Mus musculus: one gene and its partners. The protein of the gene in region 1 purifies or fractionates together with the protein of each later gene. This does not show direct contact. Links are inferred from orthologs where the notes say so. Each region holds a gene or a part of one and is shown on either strand. Other genes may lie near its edges.

What was found. The genes of interacting proteins can lie anywhere in the genome.
Region 2: the proteins of Phlpp1 (region 1) and Usp12 purify together in Homo sapiens (affinity purification with mass spectrometry; 4 studies listed by BioGRID and IntAct, with this or other methods). This does not show direct contact. The link is inferred for Mus musculus from reciprocal best matches to the Homo sapiens genes PHLPP1 and USP12.
Region 3: the proteins of Phlpp1 (region 1) and Usp1 purify together in Homo sapiens (affinity purification with mass spectrometry; 6 studies listed by BioGRID and IntAct, counting the BioPlex papers as one, with this or other methods). This does not show direct contact. The link is inferred for Mus musculus from reciprocal best matches to the Homo sapiens genes PHLPP1 and USP1.

The regions. Positions count from the first base shown.
Region 1 is NC_000067.6:106,170,492-106,174,673, reverse strand, and holds the start of Phlpp1 (PH domain leucine-rich repeat-containing protein phosphatase 1), read right to left. Parts: upstream 2,806-4,182; 5' UTR 2,671-2,805; coding exon 1,227-2,670; intron 1-1,226. UniProt on the Homo sapiens protein: Protein phosphatase involved in regulation of Akt and PKC signaling.
Region 2 is NC_000071.6:146,749,917-146,753,562, reverse strand, and holds part of Usp12 (ubiquitin carboxyl-terminal hydrolase 12), read left to right. Parts: intron 1-1,261; coding exon of another isoform or gene 1,262-1,375; exon of another isoform or gene 1,376-1,481; intron 1,482-1,593; coding exon 1,594-1,670; intron 1,671-1,784; coding exon 1,785-1,868; intron 1,869-3,646. UniProt on the Homo sapiens protein: Deubiquitinating enzyme that plays various roles in the regulation of the immune response and inflammation.
Region 3 is NC_000070.6:98,930,204-98,933,849, forward strand, and holds part of Usp1 (ubiquitin carboxyl-terminal hydrolase 1), read left to right. Parts: intron 1-656; coding exon 657-1,345; intron 1,346-1,982; coding exon 1,983-2,153; intron 2,154-2,620; coding exon 2,621-2,822; intron 2,823-3,646. UniProt on the Homo sapiens protein: Negative regulator of DNA damage repair which specifically deubiquitinates monoubiquitinated FANCD2. Also involved in PCNA-mediated translesion synthesis (TLS) by deubiquitinating monoubiquitinated PCNA.

The DNA of each region.
Region 1 (4,182 bases):
TAGTTCCAGGAAAATGCTATTGTATTACAATTTGGTTTTCTTTATAAGGCAAATATTAATCAAAATATCCACTTAAGTTCAAAAAAGCTTCAATAAAACAGTTTATGTTTATGTCCAGGGATGAGGCCTTGCATTATCAACGTAAGTGTTAAAGACTCATTCATTCAAACCAAACTGCAACTAGGGCACATGTTGAACTAAAATGAAAAAACACTAATGTGGAAGAACCAACCACTATGGGAGTCACGAGGTTGTTAGTATATACACCTAAATGTAACACCAAAAGTTTTATTGCTCTTAAGCTAGCTAGCTAAGTTCTGACCACTAAAAACTCTTTCAACCAGAAAATGCAATAACTTACCAAGCTCAAAAACAATAACCAATAGCCCTGTAACTCCACAAATTAGTTCCAGCCAAGAGGAGAAACTGACTGGTCACACCCGTATAGGCACTTGAACAGATACTAAAAATGCTAGAGAGGAGTTCAGGTCATATCAGAAGCAGTAATCACCGACATTATTAAGTCTAGTCTATTTCAAGTATCTGACAATAAAAGCTATAACTCAGAAACAGGCCAATTCATTTTTTTTTTAAGATTCAAACTTGGAAACTGAAATAAAGCAATGAAAGAGGGCAGAAGGTAAGCAGCACCCAAAACAAGGAACATACCCACTTCTCAGGTGTCAATGAGGACTCAGCGAGCAAATACGCACGCGTGGCAGACAGTGGAACAAACAAGAGCATCAGTTGACAAGAACAAAGTTCCCAAGAGGCCCACGCTGCACTTTACTGTCTACGAATGGTAAACTGTGGACAGTTGAATAGAGGAAGGCATCATGGAGCATTTTTTCGTTGGTCATTGTCCTCTGTCTATATTAAAGTGTCAAGGAGTTACCTGGAATCCCAAAACGCCTGCAACCCAACGAACCAGAGCAGAGGCCTGGAGGAAACCACCTTTAAAGTTAGGGACTGGTACCCCTCTAGGGTGTTACCTGTTTCCTGTATTTCCAGGTGACTTTGTCACCTTGTCCACCTGGCTTTCCAACCTCAGGCCTGGACACTCTAAACCTTGCAGATTTCAAGAATGCTCAATTTAGTACTTGCACAGGCGGCATGTGAACAAGCTAGAAAAAGAGTGTCAGACAGACTCACCAGGCCCCTGGAATCATTTATCGATCCCTGCCAAGGTTCGAAGCCATGCATAAACATGCAGGCAACTTCCTTACCTGCATAGAATCGAATGAGACAGCCAATCTCTGAGTCCATGCCTTCCTCCTGCACCCTCCACAGCTCCCCAAATCCCAGTTGGAAGAGGTAGTCATTTTGGATCTGCAATGGCTTCTCGTCCGCCTCCAGGCGCCGGGTAGTCTCTCCATGGAGCTGTACATACAGGGAGGGCGGAGATGTCTTTTGCACGGTCTCCCGTATCCTCCCCGAAGTCGACAGAGGAACGTCCGGAGCTGCGGCTGCCATCGCCTTATCGTCTCCGGGACCCTCGCCCGCTATCACGCCAGTGCTGTCTACGCCCGTCGGGGCTTTCGGCTGCAGTAAAGCCGAGGTCTTCGGGGAAGGCGGCCGAGGCTGCGCGGGGCGGCCGGGGCGGTGGGGCATGGCCGGATCAGCCTCTAACTCCTCCGACGACGACGAGGAGCCGCCGCCGCCGCTGCTGTAGGGGTCCAGCCGGTCTGACACGCTCTCGGCGCTGGGGCTCAGGCTGAAGCTCTCGGTGTCAGAGGCCGGGCGCGGGGCGCGGGGAGGGGACCCGGGGCCGCCCGCGAACAGCTCTCCGGGGCTGGAGTCCGAAGGCGCGGGGCTGATGCGGGGTGCACAGCGCGTCCAGGCGCCCCCGGGCAGCGGCAGATCGGCGGGAGGCGCGCGCGCAGGGCCCCGGACAGCACCAACAGTGCCGCTCGAGGGCGGTGGCTCCACGTCCCTTCCGTGCTCTCCGTCCAGGGTCTGATCGCTGGCGGCAGGGGCGGCGGCGGGAGGCGGCCCGTAGCCCAGCACCTTCACCACCCCGCCGCCTTTGTGGCCCAGCTGCAGAAGCCGGGCCGCCACCTCGGCGGCCGTGGTGTCCAGCGTGCAGAGCACTGGGCGCAGGTAGGACGAGGCCATGTGGCGGTCAAAGACGTGCACACAGCCCCGCTGGAGCTGGTGCCTCACCCAGTCCCTGTCCGACGGCTGCAGCTGAAGCAGCTGCCGGTGCTTCAGGAGCAGCGTCTTCCTGTCCAGGCTCCGGGTGCACAGCGACGCCGAGGCCGAGCAGGACGCCGGGAGGCCGCCAGCGGCCGAAGACGCCGAGGACGGCGACGAGGACGACGAGGCGGCGGCGGCGGCCGACAGATTCCTCTTCAGCCGCCCTCTCTTCAGCAGCAGCGAGTTGGCGCCGCCGCCGGCCGCGGGCACCGGAGCGGCCCCACCGGCCGCGGGCTGGGGAGCTCCCCGCCGCCGCCTGCGCCCGGTGCCTCCGGCGCGGCCGGGCAGCGGCCCCGGCGGCGCCTCGCAGGGGGCCTCCTCTCGCGCCGCGCCGCCGTTCCCGCCGCTCGGGGCCGCCGCGCTCAGCGCGGGATCCGGACACCGGCCGCCCTCGGCCGCCGCCGCCGCCAGGGCTTGGTCCTCACCCGTGGGGTCCGCGAGTCGCTGTGCCGGGGCTGCAGCGGCGGGCTCCATCGTAGCGGGGCTTCACGTCGCTCCCCCAGCTCCGGAGGCAGCGGAGGAGGAGGAGGTGAGGCGAAGGTGGGAGACGGCGGCGGCGGCGGCGCGAAGAGAACGGAGACGCCGATGGCGTTCGGCGCGGCCGCTCCAGAGGATTATGTGGCGATCCGGAGCATTCCGTCGGTGTCTCGGTGTTCCATCCCGCGCGCCGCCCGCCCGTTTCGCCGCCACCGCCCCCCCACACACACCCTCCCCGCGGGTCGCGGGCTCCCCAGCGCCAGGCCCCGCCCGCTGCTGGACAGCCTCAGCTCCCGGGAGCTGCGGCCCGAGCTCGCCTCATGAATATTAATGAAGCGCGGGAAGGCGGGCGGTGGCGGGGCGGAGTTGATCATGAATATGCATCGTTAGCATGACGACATTTCTGCGGAGAGCGGGAGGCTGGGGGCGGGGCCTCAGGGTAAACAAACGTGACGCGTGCGTACGGGGGTGGGGCGGAGCTGTTTCCCAGGAGGTTTGTCCTCGCCATAGAGGAGAGGTGGCGAGAGGGGCTCGCGTTGCACAGTGGGGGTTGTAGTTCATCTTCGTGTCGAGGATACCCAGAAGAGACCAACAGCGAACTACAAGGCCCAGATATCATCAAATTCTGCCCACCCTCTCCTCCAGCTTCTGGCCCTTGTTGGTGGGTATTGTGCCCTCTGCCGTTGAACTCTGTGTCCTGTGAACGTTTTTCATTAACTTGATCCTCTCCTGCTTGCCAGATGAGTTTTATTTTCCTGGCTAATTGAAATTGAGAGTTTTTAGGAACTCTAAACTCTAGGTAAGGCCTTTGTATGAGACAAAAATACATACACAGTTCACAGGATCGCTGGCCCCGTCTTCCTGACTTTTTCCGCACTTTTTTCAAGGCCCATGAAAGCTAGCAGTGTTTGCACTCAAATTAAACCCATTTACTCCCTCCCCTATTAGGACAGAAATAGCTAAGGACCTGCTTGGAGCCTTGTATCCCGTTGGTTTTAAGCTTAAAAGAAGCTTAACGACACAAAGCAGTGGACGAAGGAAGAAATATTAAAATGGAGTCATAGTGGGATAGGAGATAGACTTGCTTTCTCTTGGTTCTTTCTGGATTTTTCTTTCCGCACTCGGGGCCGGGTAGAAAGGGTGAATGAGACAAGGTTTCCCAGTCTAGTCTGTTCTCCATACTTCCGTCCACAAACTGCTCACCACCTACGCTCTACCTATGTTGTATGGGTGTTTACTGTTACATTGTATGATCTATAAACATTTTTTTATTGGTTGAACCAAGCTGGTTTAGGGCAATTAACTATTTGAAATAATTTGATAAACGTTGGTCATTGAGTTGCCACTCTCATGATGGCATTGCAGATGTAGACACTAATTAAAAGTCTTTTTCCGGAGTTAGAGGGCTCAGCAGCTAAGAGCGTGGGCTGCTCTTCAAGAAGACCCATATAATAGCTCACCCTGAAGACAGTGCTCCAATGTAATGCATAGACATATTCCAGGCAAATC
Region 2 (3,646 bases), on another chromosome or scaffold:
GTGACACACCCACTCCAACAGGGCCACCCCTTCTAATAGTGCCACTCACTGGGCCAAACATTTTCAAACCTTCACAACTGGGAGTTTATTTCCCCCTTTCTACAGTTGTACATGTGGTTGTTGTTGGAATAGAACAGTACCGCGTGCCCTCAAGGACGGGAGCGCCCTTCGGGTGGACGCTTGGCCAAGACAAAGCTCTAGATTGGTTGCCAAGAATCAGATAGCCTTGCACTAGGAAATAAATACAGTTGCCCTTCCTGTGTGATTCTTCGTGGTGGGTCTCATCCAGGTCAAGGAAGATGCTGTCTGTGAAGATGCTTTTGGCTAGAGAAAGGCTGGCTGTGGTGTGGGCCTTTTTCATTGCCTGAACCAGCAGTCAGTGGTGCAGGGCAATGTTTGATTGCTAGTTGTTACAGCAATGTTTCCATTGGAATATTGGATACAATCAGGGAATTGGATGTTTTATGTTTATTATAATGAACTTTGATCTGTTACAAGACATCAATATATGTGTACATATATGTATTGGTACATACATACACACACTTTAGCCTTCAATAAAACAAAGTAGTTACTTAACATGTTGAGAAATGTAGTAATAGGTGAGAAGTCAGGTTTGTATTGGATGGGGAAGACAGACAAGAAAGCTTTTTGAAGGAGAAAGCAATATTAGCCATTCTGTTCGAAAGTCTGACTATTCATTAATGTAACTTGTATGGGGTAGGTACTGTTTTGCTACCAATAAGTTCTGTGGCCATCATTATGCCGATTCACAGTGAGTACTCATGTGGCTGCCTTTATCGAAATAAGCTAGGGAGTGAAAGCTGGGTGTTCTCCGGAGTGTGTAAATACACATCGTTTCTTTGTTTGATGACACACAAATCTAAGAACCAACTCTGCCAGAGCGACGGTGAGTGGAGAGTAGAGAGTAGGAGATTATTAAGCTGGAAGTCTTGCCTTCAAGATGCCCAGCAGGGAGCAAAGATGGCCAGTGATGTCCAGACAGTGTTAAAGGCCAGGCCGGGCTCCATCCTGAGTTAGGTGTGCCGTGGATACAGTGAATACAGTGGAGGTTCAGAAGGGAGCCAGCCCCGCTGCTGTACCTCTCTGTGCTTTCCTCTGTTCTTCCAAGGCTGATTTCAGTCACACACCTTGCCTTGCCTTTTTCCATTTTTCCCCCTTAAATGTGGATGTTGCCAAGTTTCATTGTATGTGACTCTCGTTCTGCATCAGGGACATCAGTCTATATCCATTATCACAGGCCAAGTCAGTCCCACCCAGTTCTCCAACCTCGGTGGCTCGTCCTACAAGTCCTGGCCTTGAAGATCTCGTCCAGAGCACCTGGGCGGTGTCCACATGGAGCCTGTGCTTCTGAGGACCAGGGCGACACTGTGTACTCCCTGTGTCGTCACTGGGGAGCCAGGGAGCTGGTCAGGTGCTGGGTGTCTTCCCATCCAGGAGATGTACGAGGTGGACAGTTGCTCGGTGCTTTTCTGGTATTTCAGACCAAGTGGGTGTCTTTTGAGTATAGGACATTGAACCTGGCAGCTGGAAACTGGTTTCCTGGTCATTGAAATAACTCCTGTTTTACAGATAAGCAGCAAAGATGAAGATTTTTTAGACCTTTCTGTTGACGTGGAACAAAACACATCAATTACTCACTGCTTAAGGTTTGTGTAGGATTATTTTCTCTGCAGTTTCATATTTACTTTCGTTTAGAAGATTTTTAAGCGAATTAGTAATTCTCAGGTATCCCTAACAAGCCCAATTTGTGTTTTTCACAGAGGGTTCAGTAACACAGAAACTCTGTGCAGTGAATATAAGTACTACTGTGAAGAGTGCCGGAGCAAGCAGGAAGCACACAAGCGGTACGTGGATGCCTCCCTCCTTCCCTCCCTCCCTCCCTCCCTCCCTCCCTCCCTCCCTCCCGAGTTCGGACATCAGAATGTGGTGGTGTGAGTGTGTGGGGATGCTGACTCGTGTTCAGGGGACTATTTTCAGGACTCCACCCTTCTACCAGCTAAGGGTCTCACCTCAGATCTTCAGGCTCGGGCAGAACTATTTTGCCAGCCTGTTTCAAAATTATTTTAATGATTCTGTGGCCAGGGATGTTGGGTAGGCTTTTCTATCTGAAAATGATGTGCAGAATTGCACATTGAGTGCTGCTTCTTGACACACACACTCTCTCTCTGTCTCTGTCTCTGTCTCTGTCTCTGTCTCTCTCTCTCTCTCTCTCTCTCTCTCTCTCTGTGTGTGTGTGTGTGTGTGTGTGGGCGTCTGTAGATTGTGCATATGCACAGGCAGAGGAGGACATGGACACTGGATTTTCCTCTCAGTTGCTCTTTGCCCTGTTTTCCCTCTGACAGGGACTAGCACTGGACCTGTGCTCGCCCACTCACTGTTTTGTGGATAGGTGTAGCTAGTGAGCCCCAGTGATCCTCTTGCCTCTGCTCAGGTCCCTCCTGCCATTTGGTGTGTGTGCCTCACATCATGCAGCCCTGTCTGCCCTCGAACTCTGGAAACCGGGCGGGTCTTAGACTCTGAGAGCTTCCTGCCTCTATCTCCTAAGCACTGGGATAGACGGGTGCCCTGCCGTACCTGCCTCAGGGTTTTGTTTTCTTTTTTTAACCTCGTGGGTACTGGGATCCAAATGCCATTCTCGTGCTTACATAGCATGCATTCGTATCCGCTGAGCTGTCTCTCCAGTTCTACGTTTAGTTTGTGCGTTTAGCCTTTAATAGTTGTGCCGTCTCTCCAGCTCCAGTCCCACATTCTTACTGTCAGCCTTAGCAGTTACGGCTCCGTGAGAATCGCTCGATGAATGGTGCCAGGCCGGAACCATACGCTACATCTGTGGTTCATGTCTTCAGGTGTTGGGCTTAGATGTCTTAGAGGAGTCTTGCGGAGATGCATCTTGTTAACTCAGTGCTTGGTATGCAGTCATGCTCACAGCTAATGTCATCACTGAAAAAGATACAGAGCAAAGGACAAAGCCAGGCAGATTTCCAAGAGGCCCTGTTCCAGTGAAGTGACACAAGACACTGAATTTCCCCTGTCTAATGACATCATGGGAAGCTCTTTGAGGGCTCCATGCCCGGGTTTGCCATTCCAGGCTTATTGTGCAGGCTTACTCGGTTCCTTGGCTCCGAATTCCAGGCCCTCAGAGGGAAGCAGGTGCTGGTCAGACAGCTCGGGCCCGAGGGAGAGCTGATGAGTGTGGTTTGAGGCGCTCCTTAGACCTCAGTTCCCAAGTGCCAGGGAGTCTGCTGGCCATGCTGGGTCTCTGCACACGACACTGCTGCTGCCACTGTCACCCAACTCTTGGTTAAGGTATTTCCTGGAATTATTCTTGTAAGCTACGGTTTCTCCTGCTGCAATTTTTAAGTATTTAGTGTAGATTTAAAGATTGCAAATACTTCATTCTTCATTAAACTGCCATTTTAAAAACTTGAGGCACACCCAGACAGTCCATTACTCTTCCTGTTTTTGTGTTCCGGTTATCCACAGCCCAGCTGGTGGCGAGGGGAGGTCCCTGTGGCTCCTCTGGGCTGTTGCTCCCTCATACGTTCTGAGCTCACGTTGGAACTAGCTGATCCTGTGCTGCTGTGTGGTCCTGCTGTGGGGAAATGTGTGCCTTGCTGTTCAG
Region 3 (3,646 bases), on another chromosome or scaffold:
CTGGCGGTAAAGCCCCGAGTATTGACAGATTTAGTCATTTTTATGATACTGTGGCTTGAACCCCCAGATCTGTACATGCTCGGGCTCCAAGTGTGTTTCTGACCATGAATGTAAGACACAAAAGAAATCAAAAGTTAAATTGGTTAAAGCTGGTCACTAAGCATTCTTTTCAAGTTCTATAGGCTGGGGAGAATAACAATAAACCTGTGCTCTAAAGGACAACCTAAAGGACATGAGCATAATCTTGAAGGGGACTTGGGGAAGTAGGAAACAGTTACCACTTCAGTGCCCCATAGACCAGCGAGGATTCCTGGACACGTGGTCCTAAGGAAGTTCAGATTATAACTTGTGGATCTGTATATAAAATGTGTCATGCAGGTTACAAATACTTGTATGTGCTCAAAAATAAACATGTACATACATGGGAGCCCTTGTGAATGCGTGAGCACACACACAAACGTATAATGTAGAAGAGGGTGATGGTATTATAATATAATATCATAAATAATGGTCAAATTGTTTTTACTTTCAACTGTAAATTTAGGTAAGAGTTTTCAAATTAGTAGAATGCTTTTGGATATTTAAAATAGCTAATAGAAAAATTTCTCTGACTAAACAAAACTAGAATTAGCTAAAGTGAGCCTTTTTATTCATAGGGAACTCAACCCTATGTATGAAGGATTTCTACAGCATGATGCACAGGAAGTGCTACAGTGTATTCTGGGAAACATTCAAGAAACATGCCAACTCCTAAAAAAAGAAGAAATAAAAAACCTGGCTGAATTATCCGGCAAGGTTGAAGAACAATCTCTTCAGAAAGAGGAAACAGGTGGAATTACCAGCACAGAGATTGACAGTATGAGGAATACGGAGGACGTCAAAGAGCAGCTCCCCAAAGGGAACTGGAAAAGAAAAAGTGACAGTGAGTCGAGTAACGTGAAGAAAAAGGTTAAACTGTCCAGGGAATCCCAGCCATTGGAAGAAAACCAGAGACAAACCAGATCCAAGAGAAAAGCTATCGGAGACACACTAGAGGCTGCTCCTAAGATCATCCCCAAGTGTGTTTCTGAAAGTGAGAGTGCAAAGCCCTCACAGAAGAAATCAAAAGTTAAAATAAATTGGTTAAAGCCATCCACTAAGCAACCCAGCATTCTTTCCAAGTTCTGTAGTCTTGGAAAAATAACAACTAACCAGCGCTCCAAAGGACAACCTAAGGAAAAGGAGGGTGATGTTGAAGAGGACTTGGAGAAGTACGGAAGTGACCACACAGCTAATGGTGGACCCGAATCTCCAGGAAGTAGCGTCACACCTGTGGACAGCAGTGAAGCCAAGTCCGGAAACAAAGGTCAGTGCAGTTACTAGGTTGGCTAGTGAGGGTGATGGACAGGATTTAAGATAGTCAATTTGCCACAGCACTGTACATGTATTATGTAGTGCTGTTGTTATTAGGGTAATTTTGCTTGATGGTTTCTAAACTTGGGAAGTTAAAAACCTTTTTAATGGGAAAAACCTTTTTAATTAAAAAGGGGAAAAACCTTTTTAATGGGAAAGCTGTTTTTTTGCGCCTTTTATCTATGCAGTATGAGCTCAAGGGAAACTGAGTTCAGTGAGTCTTAGACCTGAGATATAACTGCTTTGCTTGGTTTTGTTTACTCATGTATTCATTCCTCTTAGGGAAAATCTGCCGGGCGTGCTGTAGTTATTGTGGTTGATGGTTGCTCCAAAAGATTTGTTTCTCTGGGGCAGTTTTATAAAGACATGTCTTTAGGAAGCAAGTTAAAGACACAGCCGACATTGTTCTAAAGATAGTAATTCATATTTAAAAAATTTTTGGTAGGAATTTTACATTTCATGAATAAAGCACTGCTTAATAAGATATGAAAACAGGTTTTGTGTTCACGATGTACTTTCAATAGGGAATTAATGAATTGGGCTATACTGAAAAGCAAATCTGCATAAACATTTTCCCATTTTCATTTTAGGTGCTGAACAGATTGGCTTTGAGCTAGTAGAGAAACTGTTTCAAGGTCAGCTCGTGTTAAGGACTCGGTGTTTGGAATGTGAAAGCTTAACAGAAAGAAGAGAAGATTTCCAGGATATTAGTGTTCCAGTGCAAGAAGATGAGCTTTCCAAGGTCGAGGAGAGCTCTGAAAGTAAGCGGACGGGCGGGGAAGCCTGTGTGTGCAGACTGAGATGGCTAGAGCGTCCTTCCTGTTCTCAGCACCACTTGTTAATTCTACTTGCCAATTTGTAATGGAAAAAATGAAATACTTTAACATCTGAGACCTTAATATTTTATTAACTGAAGTCATTTTAAGTTACTACTTGAGCTACTGTTGTGTTCAATGTAAATCATAAAAAGTATGGAAATGTCCTGAGGAATCACGAGACTGGCGACTGACCTGAGACTTGGGCTTATTTGGCTTTTGGTGTGTGTCTCTCTGTGTGTGTGTGTGTGTGTGTGTGTGTGTGTGTGTGTGTGTGTGTGTATGTTCGGCTAATACTAAGTATTTAGATGTTGGGGATCAGTTATTTGAAACTGAATGATATTGCACATGAAACTTGGTTTAAGTTTTCAATGTCTGAAAGATATTTATGAGTGAACAATTCTGTTTTACAGTTTCTCCAGAGCCAAAAACAGAAATGAAGACCTTGAGATGGGCAATTTCACAGTTTGCTTCAGTGGAGAGAATTGTAGGAGAGGATAAATACTTCTGTGAAAATTGCCATCATTATACGGAAGCAGAGCGAAGTCTCCTGTTTGATAAAATGCCTGAAGTTATCACTATTCATCTGAAGTGCTTTGCTGCTAGTGGCTTGGAGTGAGTATTGTGAATAAGCCGAGGGAGACAGTGGCTTTGTCTACAGTGCTGTGCCAAGTGAAGTCGTTTGTGAGAATCGACTCTGTGCTCTTAGTAAGCAGGTTCACTGGGCATAAATATATGCTCTTTTGGAGCTGGTGGTTCAGTTCAGTGTGCTTGTCTAGCAGAGAGAAGGTTCTGGGTTTGAACTGTAGCTCCAGAAAGCCCAGTACAGTTCTCACACACCTTTTCATATGCGTTCTGTAGGTGCTAGTAGTAGAAGTCTGCTTCTGTGGGACTGAAATGGAGTAATTTTTTCTTTTTCTTTTTTTTATAAATTTACTTCCAAGACAGAGTGTCTGAGTAGGCTAGGCTGGCCTTGAACTCAAACTCACTTCCTTCTGCTTACTGAGTGCTGGGATTAAAAGGCTGAGAAATCTACAATCTATTCCTTCTCTGAGATAGATAGGGTTGACTCAGACTCAAGCTAGGATTACAGATGTGAGCCACCATACCTGACATTGGGGAATGGGGAGGGGATTAAAATTTTCAGTTTTAAAGGAAATCTAGTTCATTTCTGAAAACTTTGGGAAATTTTGTAGTTGAGAATTTGTCCAAAAGCTTTTAAAAATAGATATAAAAGTGGCTGTTTTGAATAATCTTGTCTTTTCTGATATGCTATTGTATACTTCATGGTTTCTGCATGCTAATTTCCTAGTGTACAAATCTAATAAAAGAATGAAGAAAATATACTTTCCACAGAAACACCCAAACATCAGTTAAAGAGTGCCTCACTGAGGAGCTCTGAATGGTCTGGAGTTTGCTATGTACACCAAGTTGGCCTT